4 linked regions of the Lepisosteus oculatus genome follow. The protein of the gene in region 3 interacts with the protein of the main gene of each other region in a biochemical or structural test. Links are inferred from orthologs where the notes say so. Each region holds a gene or a part of one and is shown on either strand. Other genes may lie near its edges.

Region 1 (7,563 bases), on a different chromosome or scaffold from region 3:
ATGAAAAGCATTTTGTTTTTCACTCACTTTTAAGGTCATTTTGCGACCGGCTCACTTTCGCTGGCTGGAGTTTCTTTTCTTTGCAGAAACACTGCGATGGGGAGCTGCCTCTTGCTTTCCTTCAACCCCTTGAACTTCACGTGGTACGGCTCGAAGACCTGTTCCAGGTGCCGAACAACGTTAACGCGCCTATCCACTGAAGGGTCAGAGTGCAGTATTCTGTCCTCCAGTCTTCCGAGGTCCTGGAATAGAGCTGCAAAAGGCTCGGGGGGACACTGCCGGTCTTGCTCTTCCTCTTCACCGGCGCTCTTGAGAGGCTCGTCAAGCTCCTCCTCGGTGAACTCATCTTCGTCCTCCTCCAGAGGCTCTTCCAGCTCCCCAGGGTCCGTGTCAGAGAACAGTTAACGGACGCGAAAGGCTCAGAAGCAGACTAACACACCAGGCACGCGGGCCTGCGGAAACGCCGTCGCCTGCCCGGTAGCTCCCCAAATTCTTTTTTTCTTTTTGACCCACGAATAAACGAAACCGTGAAGTATGAACCCACGAAAAGCGAGGGATGACGGTATAATGCGGAGCACATTATACAACAACACTGTTTCGAACCACCGCAATCTCTGAAGCGCTCGGCTCGCCGGGCGCTAGCTACAGACCTCACCTGCTCTATGTTGGGCTTCTCGAAGGGAGGGCAGCCCAGAGAGCCCTCGACCACTGGCCGGCTCATCTGCAGGATGCATTTCCTGAGCAGCTGGGAAGACATGGGGAGAACGCAAGCACATGAGTGGCCATTGAGAAGAGCCTCGCAGCTCGCCCTGGACATCTCCGAAAGGAAGACACGGCCACAAGGAACACATTTCCAAATCAAGATAAGACCAGATCACTTAATTGGCCATGTGCAATTTCTTGCATTAGGAATTTGTCTTTTCGCAGACCCCAGCTTGCTCTCCATGAGACACAGACAGGGAGAGAAGCTTGGGCTCAGAGCGCAGAGCCAGCGCCACGCAGGCCCCTGGAGCAGTTGGGGTTAAGGGCCTTGCTCAGGGGCCCAGTGGAGTAGGATTCCTCTGCCGGCCGCGGGATTTGGACCGGCAACCTTCCAGCCACAAGGGCAGATCCTTAGCCACAGTGCCACTGCTCCTCCCCAGGGCTAGTGGCTGCTGCGCGGGCTGTGCCACCTAGCTCCGATTACCTGTATCGTTTCAGAGGTCTCCTTGAGTCACCGGCAGCTCAAGGCCTACGGAAGGGGGTGAAATGAAATGGCCTATGTCCAGATGGCCGGGCCGGTTCAACTACAGGGCTACAATACCTGCTCCGCTCCCAGGCTGGAGGCCTGGACCCCAGGGGGCGCTAGAAGACGAGAGAGCAGCAGGGCTCGTACCTTGAAGAGGTAAAAGTACACCTGCTTGGTGTCCGTGTCCTCCTCCTTGTGCACGGACATGAAGAGGTTCTCCACGTCCACCACCATGCCCAGAAGGCGGTTGATCTCGTCCTCGGAGACGTTCTCCAGGTGGGAAACGTGATCCGCTGTGCCAAGCAGGGAAGAAGAGCAGGATTCTGGCGTTACCATACGAGGTTTTCACCCCTTAGTGGGCGAAACACTACGCGTTATTTCACGAGTTGGCGATTTCCTCCCTGAGACATTCATATGTAACCAAAACAATTTAGATGTTAACCAGTGCAGCCAGTGATCTCATTTTCTTTATTCTTTCATTTAAAGTCCTAATCTTACAGCCAATGCCTTATTATGCACACAGGAAACCAACACTCAAAGATCTAGCAGAGTATGTGAAGATACCTTGTTAAGAGAATCAGTATGCCATATTCAGAAAACACTAAGGTATCAAAGTCGGGCCAGTGCCGGCAGCATGCAGCGGATCTGAAGGAGAGGGCGGCGGAGAGGCGATACCTAAAGCGTGCCCACAGCTGCGGCAGGGATCACTGAGACAGGCTGCCTGCTGCTGGAGATCCATCCGCTGGGCAGTGGGAGGGTTAGGGTTTTTCCAGCCATTGCATTTACAGGAGTCATTGGCCTTCAAAGACAAGACAAACAGTCAGATACGAGATCATATCTCCAGCGTTTCTCCGCAGCGCGAAAATCGGTCTCCGTTCATCTTCCATTACCACGGCGCGACCAAGCGGTCCTATAAAAATAGAAATCATTGCACTCAATGCACAAAAAATGTACTGATCGATACTGATTTAATGTTACTGCGGAACCAAACTTCAGTAGGTTGACTGCGTCTAATTTGCGATTTGCAATTTAATGTTCTGCCTACTGTCAGCTTGAAAACGTCAATTAATAAAATACTAATAATTAAATGTATAATTATTCTCTGCCGGCCAATTGTTCAGTTTCAGACCAAAAAAACTGCTCTGAACTGTAGCGAGTTCTGGTGATTTCAATGAGCCTGGGATTTAAAAAGACGATTTGGACTGGAATCACAGTAACAACATTATAGCCGGATATCATCGCTGCTTCACTTGTTATCCGGGGTTAAGACGACACCGGGCAAATATAAACGAAGGTAGTTAAGCATGACAGGGACGTTTTAATGCCAAAACTCCACAGAAACGTAATCTGGACCAGTTTGCATTGCACGCTGTGTGCTGGGAAGCGGGCCAGTAGGTGCGACGCTGAACGCCCCGCTCTGGATCAGCTGAAGAGCGATCCCATTCATTGATCACTTCACGGCCCTCGACACACACACCTACAGGTCGCTTGCAGGGGCCGGAGGGACAGCCCGCCCAGCGGGCACACGGCCCGGGTCTCCCGCCCCTGCCCCCCCACACCGTGCATTCATCCCATCGTCCGCCGCCGACTTACCTTGCAGGCGGAGAAGACCCCGAGTTTCTCCAGCTTCTTCGCCCGCGGGAAAGCTCGGACCTGCGCTTTCTTCTGGCTGGCCCGCTGCTGTTGACTCAGACCCGGCCGGGCTGGGTCGCTGTTGCCGGATCCGGAGCCCGAACTCGTGTTCGACGCTCCCGCACCGCCGGGCTGAGCCTGCTGCTGCAGCCGGGGTTGCGCGGAGGCCTGCGCCGCCGGGTCCGCCATAGCAATAGCCGCAGTCGATTGTCTCTCCTGCCGTTGTGTTTGTGAACAATAAAGTTTTGTTGATGGCGGCTTGGCTCCAAACTGCGCATGCGTCACCGAAAGGCGTTCTGGGAATTGCCGTTTGTTTTTACATTTGCCTAGATGGATTGTTTTAAATTACGAAATTGCTTTAGATACAGGGTCTTTTTAATAAATAAGGTCACGAGCTCTCATTGTGGGATATGGCTTACGCCGGAGGACTTGAATGAACAACACGCATGACAATGACCAATGTATATTTGGTCATTATCATGCATGTTTAATTTAACGTTATTTGTGCCAGCTGGATGTGCTAATCCTCCTAACCACTAGGCAGCGATACTCTGTTGTTACTGACGCGGCTTTTGTTGTATATTCTTTTTGGAGTAGGTGGGATTCAGGTGAAAAGTAATTAAAAAAAAGCTGGTAGAAGGAGAATTAAAATTCGCTGTGTTATTTAGAAAGGTGTAGCATCTAACATGTCACCAGGGTAAAAAAAAAAAGGTCTGGCGAGCGAAATGTGTATTCAGACACAATGGAGCCAAAATCAGCTCTCACGCGTAGAAACAACGCCTGTCGTACATTTGTATCGCGTCTCATCCACAGTACAAAGCCCAGGCAGCGCTAAGGAACTTGTTAACGTATTTAATACTCCGGAAGTGACTTATTTTCCCTAAATCGGATTAGCTGCATTTCCACTGACGCCTGAATGAGAGGAATTCTCAAACCTTGGGATTGGCACAGAGCTACCCAAACACACAACTTTATAAGACCTAAAAATTAAATAAAATGCACATGTAAATAAACTAATTTTGCTTGCAATTAATCAGCTTGGTACAAAAACCAAAAGGCATTGTGGTCTCACCAGACCAGGATACCACAGCTACCACAACTACCAAAAACTATCACAGCAGGTGATATCCATATACTTCAATTCTGTGACTTCTGAACCACCTCTAAACATTTTGCCTGCAGTAAAAACCCAAAGTTCGATTCTGAGGCATCCAGCAAGTTACATTAAATGGGGAGACTGAGGTGGACCAAAATCCTTGGACACCTAAAACTGGGACAAGATTTTAAAGTTGGTCCGGGATTGGGAAACTATTTCATGTCTCATTTTTTCAATAACGCTTCAATTAATCTGAGGTTTATACTATACACAGCATAGACTATAGTAATCTATAGAAAATGACCTTGTGCCTATGTGAAACAATTTATAGGATGTTAATCAATGATCCATCATTAATTTGCAGTTTCTCTGATCAATGAAGCAGACTGTTTACTTGAATGACAGCAGGACCAGAGACCATCTAATCAATTGACACTCAAGAAAAAAAGTTTTGCACAGTTTCACTGTAATTAGGTGTAATTGTTAAATTGTCCTATTTGCTTTGGTTTAAGGGCAAATTTAACAATGACATCTCTCAAATGTGCGAGTGAACAGCGTCAGACTCCTGTGGTATTGACTCTTTGTTGGTCATTGTTTTTAATCCGTGCGTGCAAGTGAAATTCAGTGGACAACACTGCTTAGACACGTCCCCCTCCATGTTTATTGGTAGAATTACAGAATGAGCCTCCCCATACTTGAAAACAGGACTCCTCCACACATGAGCTGAGCCACACAGTGACAGCACACTCCAGCTGACAGGACAGCTTTGTTCTGTTGTGCCAGTCATTAATGTCATTTAGTGACAACACAGCACGATTCCAAAGGACTCCAAAAACAAAGACAAGATGTTATCTGCAAAGTCTCTACCTGATCGACGGCACCAGTGCATGTTACAACAGAAACCCCAATTAAAAAAAAAAAACAGGACCAGTTAAAAAAAGAAAACTCATGCTTTCCAACACAAAAATAAAGATGACAAAAAATACATTTATATATTGGGAAGGTACTGTATTGACCATTAAGTACTGATTGGTTACATATTGAAGAAAAAAATATACAATACAAATACAGCAAAATAATCTCCAATACTCGTAAGTGTGATTTTGGTCAGAAAAAAAATCTGGCTTTTTTTTCCATTTTTATAAGTTCAACAGATTTGAAAAATTGTTACATTAATGCTAAAAATGACTTACTGGTATAATAATGACTGTTAATGCACTATGCATATAGTTGTGATTCTTACACATAAATGATCAAAAACCATGTTAGGCCTATCCTATTCATTATATCCTGTTTTGCTTGTGCCAGAATAGTAATAATATCAATAATAATCTACAAGATGGTTAATTTGGAAAGAGATGCAACTCCCCCAATTTCTCCCACCCTCCCGTGCCTTTGTGCTGGGGAGGGGCAAAAGACGAGGGTGGAAGGTGGGAGAGGGGCAAAAATAAAAAAAAAAGAATTCGCTACATGCACCCACCACCAGAGAAGAAGGTAAGAGCAGAAGCCAGTATAATACATTTGTTTTTAAAAAGTGACTTAAGACACCACTGAATTAGTATTTGTACAGAAAGATGAGAGAGAGGCTGATGGAATGGATTCTCTCCAGCTTATGATTTAAAAGAAGAAAAAAAAAATCAAAGCAGCAAAACCAAGGTGGGGAGGGAGGAGAAAAAACCCACAAAGCTGCACGCTCCGTTAAGTGCGATCGGGAAGAATGGGCTCGGGTGGATCTGCGCGACGTCGTCGGGTGGTTCTGTTCGGTCCGCTGCCTCTCGGCGGGTCAATTACTGCAGCACTGACTCCGGTTCTGAGGGCTGCTTTCCTGCAGGTCCACCCCTCTGGTCCTGCCCGCTGTGCCCGTTGCGCTCTGAGGCTCGTTCTTCGGCAGCTTCTTGGCTACAAGATAACAGACACGGCAAGCTCAGGCGGCGCTGCTTTGCTGGAGGGGTCGCGACCCTCAGTAACCCATAGCACAGGTTTTCAAACTGGCATCCAGGGAGCATGAGCCCTCTCGAACCTGGGCCCACCCGACTGCAGAGGCCTGCCCATTTTCAGTCTTGCTCTTCATTAATGGAGCCCTCCGTTCAAGTCATTTTCTGATTTAGAACTAGATTTCTCATCTCCTACACTGAGGTTACGTTCCAGTAACCTTAATTAAATTTTCACTTTTAGGAGCCAAGAGAACCAACATATATTTAAACCAGCGAAGCACTCACCGAGAGTTGAGCTGGAATGACAATTCGGCAGATACTGATTAGGATCGGGATTCCTGGATGGCGATCCAGACACCATCAACGTCTCTCCCCCCACCCCCAATATTAATTTGGGCGCAAGAGTCCAAATTTAGCTGGTGTGTGGGGAGCGTTCTGGCGCACTATGGCTGCCGTCGCATCATCCAAGTGGATGCTGCACATTGGTGGTGGTGGAGGGGATCCCCATTACTTGTAAAGCGCTTTGAGTGGAGTGTCCAGAAAAGTGCTATATAGGTGTAAGCAATTAATATTAATAATAATATTATTTAGAGTAACATGCACCAGCTGTCATCAGTACTTCTCCACTGACGGACCTACTTTGAAAACAAACAGCTGTGCTTGAAAAGAGGGAACCCCCTGCAGGTCTTTGCTTGGAAAAAGGGGGTACCCCAGCCAGGGAAGTCCAAATATACATTCTTTACTTAAGGTGACATAGAAATGAATACATTTCTCTAGCTTGAAAGTGTACACGTAGGACCTGACAGACACTTATGCACAAAGCTGCTATTTGTACCATGAGCATCGTGGTAATGTGGGCAGGGCGAATTTTCACAAGTGTGATGGTGGGGGTTCACTTGAATGAGACTGATTTTTGCATTTTGCAAGACAATAGTCCAGGCTGGGTGACCCCCCCCACCAAGGGGCAGATACTGTACCTATGGCCATGAAGATTTCATTCACGTTCATCGCCGTCTTGGCGGATGTCTCCATGAACAGCAGGCTGTTGTCGTCGGCGTAAGCTTGCGCTTCCTGGAAAGACCGACGAGACACGTTTGTGGCGATGAGTCTACGGAGCTTGTACCCGAGTCGCCCCCCCCCCCCCCCGCTGGCGTGTTTCAGCCCACTGACCACCCCAGACATCGTCAAAGCGGTATTCCGCACACGAACGCAAGGTCTGCTGTAAAGTGGACGCGTCGACTGATGGCGACAGAGAAAACGGCGTACAGTGTTGTGTAGCTCGAGGACCTTTTCCGGGAGGATTGTGTTTAAGGTGGTTTTCCTGCACGTGCCAGAAAACAAGCTCACCTGGAAGTCCACAGCTCTTTTGTTGGCCAGGTCGGCCTTGTTGCCCGCCAAGGCGATGACGATGTTGGGGCTGGCTTGTCGCTGCAGCTCCTTCACCCAGTTCTTAGCTCGTGCAAATGTGTCCTGTTGAGAAGCAGAAAAGCGCACAAGTGCTATTCCCTTGGAAATCATTTAAACAATTACGACTTTTTGGAGATGCAGTTAACCCAATAAAAAACAATCCTGTATTGGCTAAGCAAGCCATGCACTGCATCGTGGTAACTCCAACCACTGTTAAGGCCCAGCCGTTGTCACTGTCAGTCTACAGAATGTACCACTCCTACGTC
Region 2 (7,659 bases), on a different chromosome or scaffold from region 3:
GCGGCAGGGGAACGAGAGCAGCGTCATTCAGGGAGATCAACTCGCTTTTGGGTATAAAAGCATTTGGCAAAACCAGTACAGCAACACAAACAGCTCTGTCCCCGCCCCCCCCAAGTTTTTCTTCCTGCTGATGCTCCATTACAGACATTTAGCACTCAAATATGCACCTGGCTCCAAGCCCTGCAATGGCAGGTATTTAGGAAAGCCAAGCTCTAGGTCTGAAGAAACTGGCATGAATAAAGAATTACACATCCAGCTCCCAAGTCCTCCTCCCTCCCCAGCCACCGCGAGACACTGACCTCATGGCAGTGGTCCGGCTGAGCGCTCTTCAGGTCCCCCGTGTCGGAGAAAAGGATGTCCTGCAGGTCCTCGTACCACGCCTCCAGCTCCGCCCCGCACAGCGGCCCCACGCCAGGGGGGTATGGAGAGAACGTCATCGACTCTGCTGTCATGTCGCACCGCGCTGCGCTCTGCACCCAGACGACAAAAACAGCTCACTCAATCTGTCCACACAGGAGAAACTCGGCACATACCAGGACTTAAGAGTGTCCCGCACCGACAGGCTGCAGGACCCAAGTCTCTTCAGTCTGAAGAGAGTGTCCCGCACCGACAGGCTGCAGGACCCGAGTCTCTTCAGTCTGAAGGCAATTTTGAATCTTGGTCACAAACGAGAGTCAGCCCACCGGACTTCTTCAGAATGAACAGCGACACGAACTAAAGAACATAAGTGGGGGAAAACACATGGAAGAGCACTGAAAACTGAGAACAGGAGGAAGTTCTCTACACAAAGGGTGGTGGGAGTGTGAAACAAGCCAACCATCCATGTTGTTGAAGCCGATAGCCTGGCTTCTTTCAAGAAACAGCTGGATGAGATCCTGGGATCAATCAAGTACCAATGAGCAAACGGGACAGAACTGATGAATGACCTCCTCTTGTCTGCGAATTCCGGTCCGAACAGAGATGTTTTAATATAGTACAACTCTGTTCTCCTCTCCACCGATAGCTAGTGTGTGGCGAGTGTACTGGTGCAGTTGGGGCTGCACACTGCTGGTGGTGGAGTCGAGTTCCCATTACCCGTATAGCACTTTGACTGGAGTGTCCTGAAAAACTCTATATAAAAGTGTAAGTGTAAGTTATAAGGTAATAATATGACAAGCTGCGGTGCACTTATGGGGGTGGCATTGAGACTGAGAAACAGCGCAGCCTGCTGGCTTACATTCACTTTGAAAACATGCCCCATTTATAATGTATAATGTTTATAATTTTAAAAGTTTGATACTGCAAGCGGCTTCAAAACTCATAGCACACCTTCATCTCTTACTCCCTTATATAGCTCAGTAAGTGGGGAAAAAAAAAAAATTATACGGGTTTATCAAAGGTAAGTAACTGTCACCAGTCTTCACAAGTACTAGAACATAACTCTTTGCTTCTTATCCTAAAAAAACAACAGCACCATTCACCTTTTAATCAAGTCTGGCGATGATTCGGCGGTGTTGGTGTGTCAGAGACGATCTAGGGAAAAACAAATATCTTTTGTTAATATCTTGTACTCAGAAGAATCTGAATACCCCCTACAGCAGAATCAAAACCTACAGCTGGGCAGGCTGACACACATTTTACACAGCTTCTGTCACACATATCAGACAGCATCCGAGATAAAAATGGACTGATTGGAACACGCCCATGCTTAGGCATTCTGTGATGTGCTGAGATGATAACCAAGAAAACGATCTGCATCAAAGTTACATTTAATATTTTATGTCACATTAAATTTTCAGACACTTCAAATTGTTGCCGTTTATAACTATTCACTCCAGGTGGGACGTTTTAAAATGTTGTTTTTTTTTAATAAATAAACATGGCTGGACAAGGGACTTGTTTATTTCCTACCGGGCTAAATCCACTGTGAAATTTAGGTCACGCTGGTTTCCATGCAAACATCGGCGTCGCTCGCGAGCGCCCCCGTGCGGTCGTCTGGGTTACAGCGCTGATCCCTCGCTTAACCCCGCGGCGAGGAGGCGCTCGAGCACGGGGCACAGGTGGAAGGAGCTCGTTAACGACACACAGGTGAACCAGCGCAGTTGAAACGTTTCTTAAAAATCTATACACTTTGTCATTAAATGGCGCTCTATTTGTCTCCATGGTGCTATTTCTTGATTACCTTTACTCAGCGCGGATAAGAACAGAAAAACACTGTTCCCCTCATGGCTCAAGTTAGTTTCCACTATCCAAACTCACGGAGGCAAATCCGTTACCAGTTCAGAGGAGAGCGACCACAACAATAATTCCTCTCTGTTTAGCATTTATGTAATTATTGTTCTGTACACACCGAAACAGTAAACTCGGCGTTCTACTCCTGGTGTTAGAAAATATATTGGACGCTAGGCAGTGGAAGCAGTAGAAACTATCGCAGCTAGCATCGGAGAAACATGGTTTAGTATGCATGTTTTTTTTTTAATGAAACCTTGTCTCAATAGGACGATTTTCTTCCTCGGCTTGTTTGTTCATCGAGTGCGGGTGGTTGTATTACGTAATGGAATCAGACACACAAAGGCAGTCTGAGGCTCTTGATCACGCTTCCTGGGAAGCATAATTAACAGTCAAATTCACTTGTAGTACTAAACCAGTACGGAATGAACACACATGAATTAAAACATTTGAAGCCTAATCGATTTCCTAAACTTATATATATATATAAACTGACAGTCCCAGTCATTCGATATACGGACGTCTTGGTTAGCGAAACACTGAAACAGTGTGAGGTTTTATTAAATTAAGCTTGAATTACACTGACATTATTTCAATATTAATTGGCTCCTAGGTTGTAATTCAGGTATAGACGTGAAAAAAAGGTAACTAAAAATAGAATAACTTTTTTTTAACGCTCACATTCAAGACAAGATCGAACATCTTAAAAACCAATAAGTCGCCACATTCGAAAGAACATTGTCATTAAAAAAAAAACACAACACAAAAAGGAAAACCTCGTAATGTTAAAACGGGAATAACAACTGTTTTCCTAAAACGGACATGGGAGTTCTGCCAAAACATGTCCCTGCTTGTATTTTTTCCACAACCTCAACCCTCACCGCTAGGGAATAAGTTAAAGTTAGCACAGCGTGTCCAGAAAAGAGCGAAAAAGCTCTTGGAATTCTTGGAATTCAGAATAGACAAAAAAAAACACTCACCCTTTTTCTTTTATTATTTCGCTTTCTTGACTGTCTGTGGTTCGGAGAATTTTTATTTTCTGGTGTGGAGTGATGATAGCTCATGTTAACCATTGTTCAGTAATGTCACTGAATGTGAATTTCGGAAACTCCCGGCGATGCTTATATACTTGGAGCAACCAAACCACTTGAGACAACAGGGGAGGTGACAGTCTAGTCTGACTGCTTAGCGTCAAGCTGTGATTGACAGGTCTGCTGTCCATTCCACGCAGCGCTCGAGGGCACTTTCGCTTAGTGATATCCAATGAGAGGGCGAAGATGCTCAGCTCTCCAAGATGTGTGGCAAAGAAGGGGGCGGGCCTAGTTAACCTTGCTAGCTGTCGCGGGCTGTATAGTTTGTGTGCCGAAGAAGTTGTGATGCAGTCAGAAGACGCCTAGGACGAACGCCGGGGCATGTGGGAGTCATGTGAAATGATGCAATCGTTGGCAACCGGTTTCCAAGGAGAAGCAGGCAGACGACCTGTTAAACTTTGATTTGGTGCCGTTCTCTGAACGGCGTTTAAAACTTTTAAGACCACATTGCGTGTAACTTACTCGTAGGCTGGTAATGAGAACTTTTGTTTTCGTCATTTTTTTCAAGTGGGAATGAGGATTTGGGGAGAACATTTTCGGGGACGGGGGGTCTCCAGCAGAAAAGTGCTGATTTTAGAGTCCCTCTCAGCACCGTGAAACCTCGCAGTTTTAAAACCGGGAGTATTTCTTCCTTACTAACAGTGGTCTTCCGAAAGCAGCCTCATTCCCTGCCTGTGAATTTTATGTCGTAGTAGTCGCCATGATAACTAGCTCTCAGACATACCCGCACGCCGAAAAAAATCCTGATCCAACAAAATTCGTTCATTACTCAATCGCAGTGTTTCTTAAGAGTTGTATATAATGAATTTCAGGCTTTCTTAAATGCGCGCTTAAAAGTTGGTCATAACTCAGAACTTCAATAGCACTCTGAAGTTTTCAGATAAGTATCCTGAATATATACTGACTTTTATTAACGCTAATCTGAGCAAAAGCTATTTTACTGTACTATTATTTATATTTTGTTTTTTAGTGTAACCCGGTAGAAAATATAACGCTTTGTGTTTATTATTGTATTGCTTGTATTTATAGTTAAAAAAAAAGTTGAAAAATAGCCTATCACTGTCCCCCGTGGCCATGAATCAGCTAACCTTTACTTTTGAAACCAGTACTTTTGCAAAGTCATTTCCGCCTGTAGCTCGAGAAGCTCTCCCTCCAAGTTCCGGGAAAATGGCAGCTTCGGGCAGGACCGCAGACACGATCGCAAAAAAAAATTGAGTTATCGGCTCATTCTGACTTAAAATTTTATTTCTGGTGTCATCTGTCGTTTTTTTTTTCTTCTCGTAACGCCAGACGGCAACACACGGGGAAGTTCATTTACAACGATTAATTAAGCAGCGTTAAAAAAAAGCACAAATCTGAATGCAAGAATACCAGCAGAACGGTACCGTGGGCTATTAAAAGTTATTCGTTAGAGGATGACTTCTGTCTGCTTATTTTTATGCAATGGCAGCTTACTCCCATCATCAGTCTGTACATACACTTCGCTGTAGGAATGTGAAGTGCGGCTAACTGGTTTGTTCGCACGAAACGTTTCATGCAGAAGTCACGCTTTCAAGAATGTGACTCTAAAAGGGGAGTGGATTTGAGTACTGTATTCCGTGTGGTGTGGAACTTGGTTTTTAGATGATCTGATTGTTTCTATTGGAAGGCTGCAGTCGGGATATTAATAACTTTCAATCCTTCTGGAGGGAGAGCCATGTCGCCCCCGCCCCCTTAAGACGGCCTCTCCAGATGTTGGCTAACATCTGGGTCTTGTTCTCCTCGGGGCTGCTGCGGTGATCTCGCCCCCGCCCCCCAGATGTCTGAGTGGGTGTGGGAGCTGTAAGCCCGAACTTTACTCCTTCACTTTCTGCAGTGATGAAAGGAGATGTTGTAGCACAGGGAACAGAGGAGTGACCCAACAGCTTCTCGGTGGCCTTAAATCGGCGTTCGAATCGCTGCTCTTCGTAACTAATTCAGCATCAGAAAAGGAGTAAATAGTTTAAGAATTATTTAAAACAACCAAGCAAATGCGTGACACTGTGCATCGCAATAGATTGAAAATAGATGTACATTTTATCAGTCAGAATACTGTTTACAAGTTATGAATTTAAAAACGGAACATTACGAAAGCCCCCGATCTGTCTCGGAATGAGACAGGAAGCCGAACATGAGTATTGTGTAACAGGTAACAAGTTAGGGCTAAGTGCACAACGAGGCGTTTAATGCGGCTGTTATTATAATCTTCCCGAATGCTTCGACAAAATGAAACATACGCGTTGCTCAATGTGTTATCTTTCATTCAAATAAAAACGTGGACCAGGTATTCAAAAATACCACTTAGCTGTCAAATTTCTTTGCTCGTATCCCCCCTGGATAAAGCGCAGGGGCGGCACGGTGGCGCAGTGGTTATCATGGCTGCCTCGCAGTGCTGTGACCTTGGGGTGCTGTCTGTCTGTTTACGTGGAGTTTGTATGTTCTTTGTAGGTTTCTCCCAGGTGTTCCAGTTTCCTCCCACAGTTCAAAGACACGCTAGTAGGATAATTGGCTCCTGGGGAAACTGGCCCCAGTGTGTGTGTGTCTGTTCTGCGATAGGCTGGTGTCCTGTACAGGGTGTACCCCCACCTTACGCCCTTTGCTTGCCGGGATAGGCTCCGGCTCCCCCGCGACCCTGAATTGGATAAAGCGCGCCTCAACGCCGCACGAGCGCAGACCAACCAGCAAGCCGTGGCTAAGGGGGGCCCTAGCAACAGCACGAGCTGTGAGCGCAGCGAAAAGCAGGCACATACCCGAGTCCCTCTGCAGAGCGACGCTGTCGCCGAATAATAACAACATCTGTACATGATCTCCGGTGACAAGAGTCCCTTTTCCCACTCCTTCAGTTTGTTTCCAATATGCCCCCATAGAATTGCAAGCTTTATTGTTCGGGTTGTTATAATTGCGCCAATGAAAAACTCTTGTCAGAAATTGCGCAACGTCAGAGCTCTAATTTATAGGTACAGCGGTTTAGCAGTATAGGACAAACTAGTGTTTGCGGACAACAGCGCAAGACTTGATAAAGGCAGTAACCTGGATTCTTTAAAAGAGGGTTTTCTCTGCTAAAGTGAAATTCGACCTAAGTATCCGCCGGGAACTGGGTGCGTACGATTCACGGTAGAAAACCACAGAGCCCAGTCTCTGACAAGGGATAGAGATGTCAACTGTTTTGGTCGCGTCAACGCGCACGCCCTTCAGAGACGCGTACGGGTTTAACACACTGGTAAGAGGGGAATCGCCTGGAAATTTTCACTTTTCCCGCTGCTCTCCTTTCGGCACCGCGGGCTGCGGTGCTTTAATTCTGACAGTGAAAGAAACACGTCTGTTTTTAAAGGAGGCAAAACTGCAAAAAAATCTGGGAACAGGTTAGGAACAGCGGAGCGACCCGCTAGCTGGCTACGCTTCGTGTGTGTGTCCGGCCCGGGTCTGCCCCCCAGGTACACACCTGCGCCTCTCGTCCACTGGCCGGGAGAGAAAGTATGTCCGCCACATGTTTTGTGGCTTCACCCAAACGGAAGAGGTCAAAAAACTTGTGTCCATCCCTCCGCGGGTCCGGGTCTGTTGTGTCTTCAGCGCTCCGGGGTGTTGTTTGGATTGGCATCCGGGACAGGAACGATTAAGACGCCAGATGATATGATACGATTTTTATTTTTTTAGAAACAACACCTTAGTGGACACAGGAAATAATGCTCTCCCCTAAACCGAGCAGCGTTATTTGTGTATTTTTACAAAAAGTCGGGGGAAGAGTTTTGCACGCCAATGCACGCTTAAGGTAAAATCCTTTCTGTCCCAGTCGATAAACGTGTTACGGCCCAGACGCGGTCCGGCTGAGCACCAGCAGAAGTGTCATCTCAGCTATCGCGGTGCCTACGCTAGCTTCCACGCCGCGGTGGAGATGAGGTCTCTTGACTATCTTACCGTCACGGCTTAATTCCCTTCCTGTATAAATCGGCATTAAAAAAGCAACAGAAAAATGCACTTTAAACGTATGCTTCTTAACAGTTACAGGAAGCAGGCGACAACGTTTCGACATTTCCCTTTTTTTTGCGATTTATCGTTGGCTTAGGAGCCTCGATACATTCCGTATATTTAATGTTGGTTAGCTCGGACGTCGGATTACTTGCGACAAGTCTGGATTGTACTCTAATATCTTGTCCTCTCGTAACATGACTGCAAAACACGAACCCGAAGAAAAACGTAAAACGGGCATAAGAAATTATCCGTATTTTGAACATGCAACCAAGACGTAATACAAGGAATCGGTCTACTTTACAATATACTATAGTATTATTCTGTTGAGTAGACCCAATTCTAAAACTAATTCGTGCTTGAAAATTAATTAATA
Region 3 (7,072 bases):
ACAGTCCAAAGACACTCTGATAGGTTAATTGGCTTCAGGGAAAATTGACCCTGGTGTGTACGTGTCTGTGTCTGCATCGTGATGGACTGGCGTCCCCTCCTAGGATGAATCCTGCTTTGCACACAATGGTTGCTGAGATTGGCCCCAGTCCCCCCGTTTTGACCCTGAATCGGATGAAGCAGTTAGAAGCTCCCTCAATTACAAATCGCCATCAATTCAGACTGACTGTCCTCGAGTAACTTCTGAATAAGACCCATAAGGACTGTGCACTCACATAGACATCTATATAATTAAACATTAAAAAGGCAGCTGGTGGCGTTACTTCTTAAGGAAAATATTTAGATCATCCAACACCCTGTATTTTTTAATAGTTGTTGGAATAATGATACCTCACATTTCATTTCCAGCAGTCCTAGTGTCTAACTGGAAAATAAAATCGTTAAACGACTCTACTTATCGAAAGCACTAACGCTATCATCCAGGTGGATGCTGCACATTGGTGGCGTTGGAGGGGATCCCCATTACCTGTAAAGCGCTTTGAGTGGAGTGTCCAGAAAAGCGCTATATACGTGTAAGCAGTTATTATTATTATTATTAACACTGTTATAACAATGCTCTGAATTTGTGCCCCGTCCATAAAGCCATTGTTCACTCACATAACAACAACCGCATCACGTGCGGATACTATATACAGAACCGCGGCTGCCCACCCATGGTTACGACACACCCTCTCTTATTTAACACTGTATCTTAACAATTACCTGGACCTGGTAAACCTCATTATTTTCACTGACTTTCCTGCCGTGATATACATAAACAACTGCAGAGAATCGACAACATATATGTCATTTCCTTACATGCTCAGCTCCGGGTGAGTATACTACTCCACGGAGCCTGTCGGGTAGCAGCTATTCATTCTTGTATAAGTGAATGTGAATACCAGGATTCAATCGCAGGCTGCTCATGTGGGTGTGACGCCCGCTAGCCCGCTGTCACCGGTATCTCACCTGGAGAGTACAGCTCCGCCAGCTCCCGGGCACCTGCATGCTGCGGGCCCCACCGACATTCTCCCCTGCCCGGTCCCCGCGGCTCAGGGTCTTCTTGGATCCCATTACTCTGTAACCCGTCTCCGCTCCCTGCTCTCGCCATGTTCCCCAGCAAATCCAACCCCCGCCCGGCGAGCGAGCCAACTGGGGCCCCGGCATCACGGCCTGGCCACGCCCCGTACCCTGGCATCAGCCAATCATTTCTCACCTCCCTATTCCGCTCGACCAATCGTCGAGGTCCGGACGGGTGACGGAGCGCCCTCGGTCCACCAATGGAAATGGCCCAGCAGAGGTTGTATTTCCTGGCCACACCCAGCCCCAGCCAATCAGAGAAACGGAACATGACACACTTCGGGGGTGGGCTGGCCGGGAGAGGCGTGTGTCTGGCTCGCTGCCTGCGTACGGCCGTCTGTGGACATTGGACACATTCCAGTTGCATGGAAAAAAAAAGTGGTGCGAATTAAAATATAACAGCATGACATCAGATCCTACTTTGCTCATACAGACGGAAGCCCAGAGTGCATTTTGCACACTACGAAACAACCACGGGTTCTCGTTGCAGTCTGGTGTTCATAATCAAAGTGTCATATAAAAACTATCCGCAATATTTCTAAATGACATCTGCTTTTAGGGTTCAGCGGCCAGTTACATTAAGGAAAGTACATTTAAATTTTGCCTTCGTGTTTCCGTTAAGCGTTCCTTAAGTTTAAGGGTGTTAACAAAAAGGCATAACACCTGAAAGTCAGTTTTAAGCACAGCTGCACGAGCAAAGGCATTAATACCTTAGGTGTTTCAAATCTTTATTTTGAAGATTCGGCTGCTCGGAGGTGTGTTACAGTGGTCCCGAAACTGAAAGGGTCGTGACCCACGTGTTTTTTAGACAATCCATATGTTTCTGTTTCCTGTTTCATTTTTAACATGCGTTTTCATTCATGTACCTTTAAATTAATAATCCCTCTGGTTATCCGTTTCGGATAAAATCGCCAAATAAACGCAGTGTGCCATTCATTTTTTGAATCACTTATTACAGTTTAGGAGACATCGCTCCTAAAAATGTGAGAACATCTGTCAGTGAACGAAACTCAACAATGAGTAACCTAAAATTATTATTTTATTATTTTGGTACTGTGCTAGTCCAATGCCAATACTGTGCGCAGAAGAATTCTCTTGTTAGCTAGGAAAAAGCAAAAATAACAGAACCGTTTGAATTAAAAATCACAAATCGGAACTGTTTGTATTAATTTTCTTATTTCGCCGTCCATCCATTTATTTTCTAACCGTTTCTTCCAATTCTGGGTCGCGGGTGAGCTGGAGCCTATCCCGGCAAGCACCAGGTGCAAGGCGGGGTACATTCTGGACGGGACGCCCGTCCATCACAAGGCAGACAGATACTAACACACACACACACCCACCCCAGGGCGAATTTTTACAGAAGCCACTTAACCTACCAGTAAGTCCAGTAAGCATCCGGAAGAGACTCACGCAAACACGGGGCGCACATACAAACTCCGCGCTGATAACACTTCGGGAATTTAACCCCAAGGCCCCAGCGCTGTGAGGCGGTAGTGCTAACCACCGTACGATCCTTATTTCACTAAGCAATGAAGGTGAATTCGACACGAGTACGGTCGGTCATACAGGTGCTGATAAGGTTAAGCGCTGCGCCGAGCTCCTCTGACGTAAGAGGCGCCGGTGTTGGGTGTGCCGACAAGTTAGTTCAGGTTTCAAGAAGTCTCCCAGTCTGCACTTTACCTCGAACCTGTCAAACCGCTAGCAAGTCATTAGCTGAACTCCAAAGTCACCACATCCAGTCGTGTTGTAAATCCCATCTCCCTGCAAACTCTGACCAGTTTGAAGTCACGATTACCACCAGTCCCCGAACGAACTAACTGAATAAAAAAGCAAAATAAAAATACGATAAAAGAGGTATTCTAATGAAACGTATAATAATATAACGATTTCCTTCAATCGTGGATTTATATTTGTTTTGGAATCCATTTGTGAATCTCATGTACTATGGGACAGCTATATAATAATCATCGTCATCATCATCTTTGTGTTTTTTTAATTTTTATAACAATTCCGTGTCAGGCCACAAGGGGGCGATATCATCTTTTTTTATCCGTCCTGCGTATCGCTCGAATGCTTCGGGCCATCATACATTTCTTTCCAGTCCTCATTTTTTTTTTAGTTTTGCTTTACGCGTCTGCCCTGTGCTTGAGTTGACTTGAGTGTCCTCTGCAGTTGCAAAGGGCTGCAACTCCCTTGCACCCTGGCTCAATGACACGCCAAGCAAGTTTCACATCCTTTTCAAATACGCACAAATCATTCTGGTTTAGTGATCGCTGTCGGTGCTCAAACATGCACAGGAAGAGAATTCAGTCTTTTTCATAAGAAACTGGGGAGCTGAGTTTGGAACAAGTAGTCAATAGAAGACATGAAACGGACTGTGGCAGTAGTCATTTTGAATTTTTTAAAATGTCTGAAAGGTTTCTTTTTGTAAAAAAAAATGCAGATACGAGACCTTTTTTTCCCTTGAGCGCACCAAAAGGCCTCCCCCGTTGTTGTAAAACAAGTTTACAGAACGACCTTTCACTCCCTAACATTGTCGCCTGGCATTGGCGATCGACGCGAGTAATGTGCTTGTAACTAGAGCTAGGAGCTGTGGAGCAATGTCCAAGCTGTGGTTGGGCTTTTGGTTTGTCAGCTTTGAAAGAAAAAAAAATGCAACAAGAACGTTTGGCCATTACAATTGCGTATTTATGTTTTTATTAGTATTTTATGTTTCGCCAGCGTGTGTTGCGCAACAGGACGGCGGATCCCCCGACTTTGACACTACAGAAGACCGACCCCCGCTTTTTGGCAGGGACCGTAGTTTGGGAGGGAGGATTGAGCAGTGAAAGACATCCATGAGAGAAATTCGGCACTTAGGATGGTTATCGCTCGCCGTTAAACAACAATATCTTTGTGTCAATGAGCAATTAAATAAGAATAATCAATGGTACAGGACATTACTGTAAAACACGCAGTGTTGTTTGATCATTTGAACGCAACGATTTCTTATGTCACAACATGGTGTATTAAAAGCCCCCTAGTCTCCGCACAGAAAAGGGTACAGCTCACAAGTCAATGTTTTTTTCTCCAAATACACAACATTAAGAGAAGCGCCGGTTGCCTTTTTTTATTTCACAGCACTGCGTTGCTCTTTTGCAGGTCCATTACGAGGGCAAAAAAGTTCAGAGAAGCACTGGGGAAAAAAAAAACTAGTTTGATCTTGAAACGAGCTCTCGGACTACAGCGTCGAGCTGATTTGCTGTTCAACCGGTACAGCCCGTCACGCCGCCACCCTGCCCTGAGGTCTGACGCCGCCCTCTTTCCAGGTTCGCTATATATACGCTGTTGCAAGCGCAAGCTGTCGAACTGGACGCCGAGCCGAGCGTGTGGGCGCTGCCAAAGACTGCCTCCCAGGACACACCGATTGAGCAATCGCCTCGGACGTTATTAGTATTATTATTTGTAGGCAGACCGTGCACCCCAGTTCGCCCGCTTTTCCCCCTCTGCCAGCAAAGCAAGTCCGCCAGGGAGCTCCGTCCCTGATCCCGATGGTCCCGCAAACCGGCGGGTGTTAAGATCGATGGCAGTGGCGGGCTTTTACGACGGGGATTACCTTGCGTTCCGAGGTGTTGACAGCAGCAGCAGCAACAACAACCACCACAGCAGCAGCACAGGCTGCAAGCAGTCCATCGGCGGTTCGATGACGGAGCTGGGCATCGCCGAGCACGAGAAAGCCATCGACTTCAGCATCTACCTGGACCCCGCCTTGCCCTTCCAGCAGCAGCAGCAGCAGATCCCGGTCGAAACCCTGGATCAGCACCACGGCGGGGACATCTTCTCCACTTTTCTTGCCGAAGACAGCAAGAACAAGCGTGCCGCCACCTTGCAGAACTACAGAAACTACTTGTCATTGAGCGCTCGGGGTGCCAATCAGGGCGACAGCCCGAGACCGTCGAACTTGCTGGGCTTCCCCGAGTTACTGGAGACGCGAGTGGACACCGTGTTTAGCCCGCAGCTGCTGGGCGGCTATATCAAGCAGGAGCTAAAGGAAGATTTAAGAATGGACAGGGGCTCTCCCAGTTACGAGATGAGGTCTTATCTACAGTACCAGTCGGCTCCCAGCGGCAGCATCGGGAACCTCTCCACCGCCTCCTCCTCCTGCTCCAGCCCGCCGGGCACCCCCGCCCCGCCAGGTGCTGGGGGGTCGCCGTCCCACGGGAAGATGTCCTCGGGCAGCAAGGGCAAGAAGAGGCTGGAGAAGGACAGTGAGGAGTACCGGCAGCGGCGGGAGAGGAACAACATCGCGGTGCGGAAGAGCAGGGACAAAGCCAAGCAGCGCAACATGGAGACCCAGCACAAAGTACTGGAGCTGGCGGCGGAGAACGAGCGCTTGCAGAAGCGAGTGGAGCACCTGTCCCGGGAGCTGGCCACCCTGAGGAACTTGTTGTCGGCGACCGGACAGTGCTAGCGCCGTTGCGGGACTCGGTACGCGCGGCCGCCGCTTCAACTGCGGGGGTACTTTTTATATTGCCAGCTGGAAAATACTGGCCCCCCTTTTTCTCTGGGAAGTATTATTTGTAACTCAGATGTTTCTCTTTCCCTAAAAAAGGATCAAATTGTTTACCAATTTACAAGGGAACCGTATTTCTGAAAGCGTGTGGGTGTTGTTTGCTTGGGAACATGGAATATGCGACTGATTGTTGATAAATTACCACTTGTGATACCATGTCTGTTTGTTTTTTTCAAAAATTGTTTACTGTATTTTTATACGAGTTTTAACGTTTAATATACTTCTGTGTTATTTAAGAAATGTTGATGAAAACACGAAGTGTACGCTCTTTTTTTTAGCAACGGTTGTCAAGGGAGTTGGATTGCGCAAATGATGCAATCCGATGTAACAGTATTGGCAATGCAATGAAGTAATCTGTTAAAGATGGAAAGGTATATACAAATTATAATGAAATGTATAAATACTATTTTATTGAATTAAAAATATTTTTACTTTGGTGCAAACTTTGTTTTCGTGTCTCTGTTGCTTATAGCGCAAGTTGCGTGAATGGCTCAGAAGAGGTCTTGTAAGCCGGTGCATTCACATGATATCTGAATGGGGTTCACCGCTATTTTCCTTCACTGAAAAGGCACCTGTGAAGCTGTGGTAACTCGTGGCTCTGAAGATACTGAGCTGCCGAACGCATTCATCCTTTAATACAACCCAGAGCTGGTTAAGAGATTATCGTAGGAGCTACATCGAGCTCAGCACAAGAAAACTGAGTAAAGGCGTTAAGTTTTGCGACGATAGTGTGATCTGGGAATTCTTGACAGTGGTGATATCGTCTGCAATTTCGCAGTCTAAACAGTATACAGTCTAAAGCTGCAGGACAACAAGATCCAAAAGGAGCCTATGTCCATTACTGTATCAAAGCAATACACTCGAGCCTAAAGCATTAGATCAATATATTTTCAGTGTTTAATGTAGTTATGTAAGAAAATTGACTATATTTCATAGGGTAAGATGAAAATTACCTTTACTGTGACCTAGGTTACATAAAATATTTGGAAATGGTTTAGTTTCATTCTGTTTTTGTAATTCTCAGACACTCATGTGTTGGTGGTAATATTTTTTTCCCCATGCACAAGTTCTAATTCAGTATCGCAATTTATAGCACATTCCCAAATGAGCACCACAGGAATACTGTAACACCTGAACACTTCCGGCCCCTTTTTCCGAGATCTGATGTGTCAATTTAGGAAGTTTTAGCCTGCATGTCAAAAATCTGTAATCATGTATGAAAAAATCTGCACAAGACAACTACTGTTCAAGATAGACTTGCTCTGTAAAAATCTCTGCTGGGTTTTCACCATCTATCATTGTGCCATTGATCTCATATCTGATGTGGGCTACATTTGGAATTTATTTATTTCAAGCTGTTATTTACAGGTGCGCACAGCTTCAGATATACACTTCGTTCTTT
Region 4 (7,997 bases), on a different chromosome or scaffold from region 3:
GAAGGTGTGCATCCTGGGGGATTGCTGCAGCCTTGTGGGCGACGCGGGGCGCAGGCTGTGCCACGGAGCTGACGTCCTGGTCCACGAGGCCACCCTGGAGGACAGCCTGAGAGACAAGGCCTGGGAGCACGGGCACAGCACACCCAGCATGGCCGCCGAGCTGGCAGAGGCATGCCAAGTCAAGCAGCTGGTACTCTACCACTTCAGCCAGAGGTACAAACCCCAGAGCCTCCTCAAGGAAAAGGAAGACGACAACGTCCTGGAGCTCAAGAGGCAGGCCGAAGCAGCTCTGAACGGCAGGGAAGTTATCCTTGCCGAGGACTTCTTAACGATACCTATTCCCAGCAAAAGATGCAATTAGTTTTTTTATAAATAGAATTGTTTTTATCTGCTGAAGTGTCATGGCTATTTTTGTATATGATGACATTGACTTGAGGTGTAAAACCTTATGACCCCCTAATTTTAAATGGCTTTGGTTGGAATCGTTTTTATTCAAGTTTTCTTATAGATAATTGTCAGGCATTTTAGAAAATGCATGCCAGAGAAAATGGTTTGATGCCATAAAGTGACTGAGGTCCTGGTGTCCTGCTCCTTCTTTGGAGACAACATGACAGTACAATCACCACTGTCCACTGGAAAGCAGGCTTGCTCAGTGCTCGGTATGTCGGCATGGCTCATCAGACCCTGTCCTACAGATGCTAGAGTGGGAGCACCATGCGATTCCGCTGAATTATTTTGAGGGTGGTTATTTTAGTATGGTGGGATGGGGCACTTATTTTGTATTTAAAAGTGGATCTATTTCATGCAATAAAAGTTTAATTGATCGTACTCTAAACCTGAATCTGATATCAGTGGAGGTTAAACTGGGTCTTATCTGTTCTAATAAGTGCTACTTTTCTTGTTCCTTCAGTGCTCGTGTTTATCAGGTCCAATGCTGCTGCTCCTTTTCTCTCTTTATGATGAAATACCAAGCTCACCTTGGTAATGCAAAGGGTCTTCAAGACGATATCTAGCTTGAAGCTGACAGTTAAGGTCTTCCCCCATTAATGTTAAATGGAAGTGTAACTGCAAAGCGATGGTGTTTCGCGGTGAAAAGCTGAAATGAATGTGGGTGAACCAATGTGGTGTGTGTGGGCCTGCTTTGAAACCTTTTTTACTTTAAAAATAAAAACGGTCTAGCTTAAACTGTTTGAAATGGATTTTGCCAGTGGGTGCCCTTGTGAGAACAAGGCTCCTTTTAGTGTGGAATGCCATGTAGCCTTCACCCACATTAGTGACTCACGGTGTTGTTCACCGGCAGCAGAAACAACCAAGACAATATGAGCGTCTGAGATGGGAGAGCCTGAGGCAAAATGAGAGCTTCTTCCAGAGACACAGCAAGAAGATGTGGTGGATTAGTATAATTATATGCTTTGAAACAGTCAGCCATAAACTGAGTATATAAAGCATCCTAATCCCCCTCTGCTGCCCTAGTGGCCTCTTAGCCTAGATACACTGTTCAAACTGTGAGCCAAGCTCTGATTCAGTTAAAAGAATGAGTACAAATGTCTTATAATAATAATAATAATAATAAACTTTATTTTATATTTTATATTTTAAACTTCTAAAATATCTCAGGCACTTCTCTCAACAAGCAACCAAGTAACGACACAATCTAAATTTTTGTGTTCGAAAATCAATGGCTCACAAATCTGTAAAGGAAAAGAACTTGAAATGCATGACCCAAATACTCTTAAGACTTTTTGTAACAGCGCTATTGGTAGCTTTAGTGAGAATTTCAGTGGGAACTGAACTTAGCTCAAAAACAAAGAAGCACTCCATTCCTCTTGTGGGAGGCATTCATGCAGTATTTCCTTGACATGAGTTTTCTCAAAGCCTCATGATTTGGCCTATAAATATGAGAATTATGGAAATACTCCTTCAGAATGTGTAAAAAAACATTGCACATGAATTCTTTCCATAACATGCATGTACATGATAAGAGATACATTTGATATCTGTTTTTCTCACCTGGTGTAAAGATATGAGGAGTTACCGTCTGTATGAAATTATGTTAGTTTTTCATTTTGTCCTAAGACATGAACTGTAAAACCAAGTTAATTTATTTTTCTCTATCTTTAGTAAATGCATCAGTTTTCTTTAAATGCTTTAATCACTGTTTTCCTCTTTGTTCAGTTATTACTGTAAAAAAATACTACTGCCAAGTCAGCATTTTTGTCTTATTATTTTATGAGATCCTTTAGAATCAAAATATTTGCAATACTACAGTGGTATGGCCATGTAATGAGATGAGATCAAGACCTAATAAAAGACGAAGTAGAAGAGGGTATTGAGGGAAAGAGGCCACGAGGAAGACCAAGAATAAGCTGGCTTGACTCAGTGAAAGAAGATAACGGTAAGGCGGATATTGATGTAGATGCCTGGAGAGACAGGATACGATGGAGGAGGCTAGTGGGCGAGGCAATGGACTGGCTTGGGTTCGAGATGCCACCTCAGTAAAGTGAGTAGAATCATTTTTATGCTATTACACTCTGATAGTCAGGAAACCCTTGTCTTCTGACTATATGGCAACAGAAGGCAGAATATCAAACATTATGTGGCTTTAGTGAAAAGCAGCATTGTGGAAGAAAGGAACAAGTAATAGGCTTATTCCATGCTGAAAAGAGAAGAAAGAAAACGCCTTGGGTGTGAGAGAAGAAAATCTAATTGTGGAAGAAATCCTTATTTTCTGCACTGTGCAGTAACTTGCAAAATCTCTAGATTGCCAGTCACTAAAGGTTAGACTTTTAGGCAAAAAAAAACTGGAAAATGTGCACCCTTTCTTTGTAGTTCAGCTCCATTTTTAGATGGTCCAAACAAGGTACTGTTTCACTTACTCAACATAAGTACACAAAGCAATTTTGGACCTTGACACATCAACATTCTTTTATCATATATCAAATATATACCTATATATTTCATTTTATATCATCTCATCTCTGATACAATTGCCAAACAGAGGTTCACAACTGGTTTGCAAACATTGTACCAGGAGGATATGCAAAAAGACGGAGATCCTACTCTGGACAGCCTAAACTGCAAGCTAAACTTTTCATGGTGTCTTTTTGCAGCAGTGAAAAAAAAACTCATGGCTGGTACTGAGCATGAAGTTTTAGGATTCAATATAGGGTGGGTGATTACATTATTAAATTGACACATTACTGACTTGCTTTTGATAATATGGGTTAAGTAGTCAACAGAATCTTACAGTGAAAAGATCCACATTTAAATCAAAGAATGTTAAAAGTGAATGATATGTTAGCACATTTAGAATACTGTGTTCGATTTTGCAGTAATCGTGTCAGAAAAAGGTAACTGCTTCTTGGAAAGACTTCATAGAGTGATGACTAGGATCGTTCCTGACTGAAAGCATGTCTCTCTCTGACAGATCAAAGTAGCAGAGTCTCTTCAGTCTTGATAAGAAGAGGCGGGATTGACCCAAGTATTTGAGGTCTTGAAGTGTACTGATAAAGTCACTTCCTGTGGTTTACTTCAAGCTCAGCAGTGGCACATGGAGCATGAATAGGCATTAACTGTAAGTCAAGCTTAAGAATAAACACCGCTGGACTTTTAATGACATTTACAGTATATCTCACTGCTGCTGAAGGGGCCAAACTGCCAACTAGATCCTAGTCCCTAGGATCTTCCAAGAAAAGGCTGCTTTCAGTTTCATTAAACAGAAAAAAACATTGAAACAAAAAAATACAGAAAACATGAAGGGGTAATGACTTGCATTAAAAAACTAGAGGGCGAGCTTTAATGAAGTGAATGCCAGTGCATTTGTCTGTTAAAGACTTCAAGAAACATTCTTAAAATGGTCTAATTTAGAAGATAATTTGGTTGGTGGTTTCTTTGACTACTCAGATTCGAACAAAAATCTCCAGGCCCTGGGAAGAACCTGGAATTCAGCAAGTCCTTGAGAGCAATGAGACCCCAAATCCGAGGCACTGAATCCCTTGATATTTCATTGCCCACTATATATGACTTACTGTCAGGTTAGTCAACATCAGAGGTCATGGTAGTGTTGGGTGAGAAAGGTGCACGCAGACGACAGATTTGAGGAACCAATTTAAGAAATGTTTTGATGAAAACAAAATGATGGCATGGCTAAATACAGGTGCTCAAGACTGCATGTAGTGCTACAATATAAATAACAGAAACAATTGACAGTCCTGCACTGTAACTAGAAGAATTTATCACGCAACCTAAGGCCTAGTGTTAAAATTTGTGTAGTTATAAAATTACATTCTCTCATCTGATTAAATCTAAAAGATTCACATTTATTTAATAAAAGCGGAATGTCAGCACTCTATGCAAGAATGCTGCTTATCATGCAGGATCTACTTCTGACAATTATCCTTACCTGCTGTTTTTATTTTTAGATATTTTACATCACGAAGGTATGTGAAACATCGCGAAGTAAGAAGCACGCATAACACGCAGTGCCCACTCATGTTGTGTCTAAGTGTGTTTTTGCACATTGCCCATAGCTCGCTCCAAGAAAGGGAGCGACTGTTACGCGCCATGGCCCGGGTATCGGCGTGAAGTCACATCTCCTTTCTGCTGGGTCCTGAGTGGGCGCCGATGGTGCCAAACAGCGCTGGAACTGCGCACACACGCCAGGCCGCTCCCCGCCGCCCAGTGCGCAGGCGCCGTGCGCCATGTTGATACAGCAGCACCAGCGGCGGAGGCGGTCGGATGGAGGCTCCGTGTGAGAGGGGTGGATTTGTTTTTTTATTTTGTTGCTCGCCGTCCCGTTCAAAGGCGCACGACGATTCCTAAACCCCCGGTGATACCGGATCCCGCTTCCCCTTGGAAAGGTGAGGGACTGGGCCGGAGCGGCCCGCAGACCGGCGGGGAAGAGGAGTATGGGGAGGGGTGGTGGAAGAAAGGAGAGCAGGGCGCTCCGCCGGCGGGGAAAGTAAAAGTTTGTGTTTTTGTTCTCGGCACTGGCGGGCCGGGGCGAGAGGGAGAAGGGTTTGGAGGCACAACAGCGTCCGTGGAGGGGCCGCCGTGTGCCGGCTGCGTTGCGCGGCCCTCGCTGCTGTGAGCCGAGGCGGCTCGGGGGTGTTTTCGGGGTAGCGGGGTCGGGCTGTGCCGAGGCGCTGCTTCTGCCCGCTGGGGCGGCGGGGTGTCGCACCGAATAGCGTCCGGCTGCACACGGCCCCCTGCGGGAAACGGGACTCGCTGTCAGGGTGTTGGAGAGCTGGGGTTGAGCTCCGGGAGTGTGTTGTTTTTTTGGGGGGATTGAAGAGGGTGGCGTCTTGATCTGTTTGACTCAACGCACCTCTCCGTCGGTAAGATCGCTCCACACACTTGCGCTTTTCTCTGCAGCTGCGCTCCTGAAAAGCGGGCGTCCCGGCTTCGGATGTGTGCACGGTGTCGAGGAGATACCCCGCTCGCGTTTGCCGAGTTTAGGGGTTGTATTTTCCCTGCCAGCCGGTTTAAATGGGGGAAGTAATATTGTGCATTCTCGTAGCTGCTGTTTCTCTGGGTACAGCTTTTCCCACGCACGGAGCGCTGTGGTCCGCGTTCACTCGTGTGCTGTCTTGACGTGCGGGATCAGACCGTTTCCAAGACTTCGAGGTCCAGAAGCTTGTTCCTGTACTGCTGTCGGTTAAAAATCGATCATCTCTTATTATTTAATTAACAGTTGAATTGCGCGTTCGGTGCAGTTTAGGGAAAGGTACCCAGTTAATGCAGGATCTTCCCGAGAGTGACATCTTTCCAGACGTACCTCTGTTGTGCTTCCAAATCGTGTAGTGGACTACCGGGCGGCGGTCAAGTTTGACGTGCTGTACAATTCAGGATGTTTCATAGCGCTACGCGTGTCCCAGAAAAACCTAGAGCGAATGACTGGCCCTGCTGGGGTCGTCCAACACTTGGACTCCGAGTCCCAGCTCATTTTGTGTTAACCCTTGGGTGACAAACGAGGTGTCGTAGCCTTGGTTCAAATCATTTGTAAGAGACACCAAGACATTTCAGCCCGTTTCCACACTCTCCCCCAAGTGGCTTTGAAGCCTGTCTAGTGACCTGAAGGGTTGCTTCACTGAGCTCATTTACTTAAAGAGGACAAATTCAGCACACTTTCCAAGCCTCAAGTGGGACGAAGTGGGGAGCTTTGGAGAGGACTCCTTGGGGCAGGCAAGTCCTGCTTGCTTCTCTGTGCCCTGCTGTTAGGAATCAACGTTATGACTCCTGTTTTCTAGCATTACGAGCCCTTTCACGTTATACAAGCCAGTGACTTATGCATATAAGCCAGTAGGCGCTGAATATTTCGTGCCACTTCGTTTGCCTTCATTTAACATTGCCTGCATTTAACACTCTTCAGCTGTAATGGTGAAGTGCATCTTTTTTTAAGTAGTAGTAGTTAATTCTTGTCAATTTTCTGTAATTTACTGGCCAACACTTTACATCATAAAGGAAGTGTTAAAATGTCACCCCGTGTTCCCATGATGTTTTTGTTTTTTAGTAACTTGCTGTCCGGTGGCTTTTGTAGGACGTACATCCTTCTGTTTTTGTTAAACCTTCAGTATTTCTCCTCAGAGCAGGATTTGTTGAACGTCTGCAGTCCCTGCCTGTGCATATCTGCCCACACTGCTTGTTTATAAGCCTTACTGGAAGGTCTTGGGTAGAAATTGTGGGATGGGTGTGTAAATCTTTTTTCAAGGGCAGATTTGGGAAGAATCTGCGTGCTGGAAACTGGAGTTTTGATCTTTGTGCATATGTGAATGGGGCAGGGTCTTCGTGGCATGATTTGTCAACATCGGGTGAACTCAGTCTTCTGGTTACTACCTGGAATTTCTGTTTTTATTTTCATTGATTTAATTGTTGTGTATAATGTTTTTTTTTGTTATGGTTTTACAGTTTTTAGATCTTATTTTGTACTTGCTATCAAGGCATGGTTTCAGCATTTTCCTTAGTCATCGCTGTGGTTACATTAATTCTATTCCTGATCCTTGGTAATGAATGAGAACTTTTTAGAGTAGAATTTTTTCTCTGAGTTTTGTGGTAAAGAATATTGTGCTGCAGACGTGTTAACCAATGTGACTGATGGAAAATGTACAGTCCTTCTGTTTTTCATGGTCAAAAATGTAATTATGTAGTTCAATTAAATAGGACAACACAGTGATACTTGGAGTCTATTGAAATAGAGTACAAGGCAAAGTAACAATTCTAGCAGATGAACAGTAAGATGTAGAAAAAAAAACTGCTCCTGGTTTATGAAACATTCTTTTTGGTTTTTTGTAGCACTGCTCATGTGCATGTGCTGAGCATAGGAACTCTGACTTGACTCTCCGTGTGTCAGAGTTCTGTTTGGGTCTTCTAGTGAAGAGGAGTATCTTACTTTTGCTTCAGTGTAACTGTGTTTTTTATTTTGTCAAACTGTGGCATTAAGCAATATCCTTCTGCCACGTGTTTCTGTTTACCAGCTCCTCTGTGTGTGAACGAGTGAGAATGAGGCGGCCTGTGCTAAGCACAGTGATTCATCCTTGACTCAGTGACTTCCTCTGTGTATTAATACCCAGTTGGGTTGTTCACCTCCAGTAGTAGAGGGCATTAATAATTGTCGATTCTCCGTCAGTGCAGCTTATCACTGTGACCTCAAGCACAAGGCGAGTAATTTGTGAATTACTCAGATCCATTTATTTTTTGCTTTTATCCAGAGTGACGTAGATATATGCACCATGTATCACAGCTGGGATTTTTCTGGAACAGTAAGTGTGAAGTACTGAAGTACCTTGATCTGGGGGTACACCAGTAGTATCTCACCTGGGGTTTGAAAGCACAGCCTTGCAGTTACGAGTCCAGAGCCCTACCAGTTGAGCCACACTGCTGCTCTTGTTTGAGCTGGGCCATGCGTCTGGGTTCTTGTCACAGCAGTCTGCTGGTGGTGCAGCTCGGATCTGGACTCTGGTAGCCCGGTCTCGAAAGTCATGGTGTGGATCAGTCCTTGG

What was found.
Region 1: the proteins of cebpb (region 3) and kat2a form a complex in vitro, tested with the Homo sapiens proteins (2 studies listed by BioGRID, with this or other methods). The link is inferred for Lepisosteus oculatus from reciprocal best matches to the Homo sapiens genes CEBPB and KAT2A.
Region 2: the proteins of cebpb (region 3) and ddit3 form a complex in vitro, tested with the Homo sapiens proteins (2 studies listed by BioGRID and IntAct, with this or other methods). The link is inferred for Lepisosteus oculatus from reciprocal best matches to the Homo sapiens genes CEBPB and DDIT3.
Region 4: the proteins of cebpb (region 3) and smad4b form a complex in vitro, tested with the Homo sapiens proteins (2 studies listed by BioGRID and IntAct). The link is inferred for Lepisosteus oculatus from reciprocal best matches to the Homo sapiens genes CEBPB and SMAD4.

What each region holds. Positions count from the first base shown.
Region 1 is NC_090723.1:5,255,957-5,263,519, reverse strand, and holds the start of kat2a (histone acetyltransferase KAT2A), read right to left. Parts: upstream 3,096-7,563; 5' UTR 3,050-3,095; coding exon 2,822-3,049; intron 2,028-2,821; coding exon 1,904-2,027; intron 1,522-1,903; coding exon 1,376-1,521; intron 746-1,375; coding exon 656-745; intron 1-655. Other genes in the region: rab5c (ras-related protein Rab-5C), read right to left, coding at 5,740-5,855, 6,868-6,961, 7,238-7,360. UniProt on the Homo sapiens protein: Protein lysine acyltransferase that can act as a acetyltransferase, glutaryltransferase, succinyltransferase or malonyltransferase, depending on the context.
Region 2 is NC_090696.1:18,053,766-18,061,424, reverse strand, and holds the start of ddit3 (DNA damage-inducible transcript 3 protein), read right to left. Parts: upstream 3,362-7,659; 5' UTR 3,189-3,361; exon of another isoform or gene 1,891-3,188; intron 1,513-1,890; 5' UTR 1,461-1,512; intron 471-1,460; 5' UTR 453-470; coding exon 300-452; intron 1-299. UniProt on the Homo sapiens protein: Multifunctional transcription factor in endoplasmic reticulum (ER) stress response. Plays an essential role in the response to a wide variety of cell stresses and induces cell cycle arrest and apoptosis in response to ER stress.
Region 3 is NC_090711.1:12,165,600-12,172,671, reverse strand, and holds cebpb (CCAAT/enhancer-binding protein beta), read left to right. Parts: upstream 1-4,458; 5' UTR 4,459-4,680; coding exon 4,681-5,568; 3' UTR 5,569-6,113; downstream 6,114-7,072. Other genes in the region: peds1 (plasmanylethanolamine desaturase 1), read right to left, coding at 1,008-1,149. UniProt on the Homo sapiens protein: Important transcription factor regulating the expression of genes involved in immune and inflammatory responses. Also plays a significant role in adipogenesis, as well as in the gluconeogenic pathway, liver regeneration, and hematopoiesis.
Region 4 is NC_090698.1:14,987,226-14,995,222, reverse strand, and holds the start of smad4b (mothers against decapentaplegic homolog 4), read left to right. Parts: upstream 1-4,673; 5' UTR 4,674-4,859; intron 4,860-7,997. Other genes in the region: elac1 (zinc phosphodiesterase ELAC protein 1), read left to right, coding at 1-361. UniProt on the Homo sapiens protein: In muscle physiology, plays a central role in the balance between atrophy and hypertrophy. When recruited by MSTN, promotes atrophy response via phosphorylated SMAD2/4.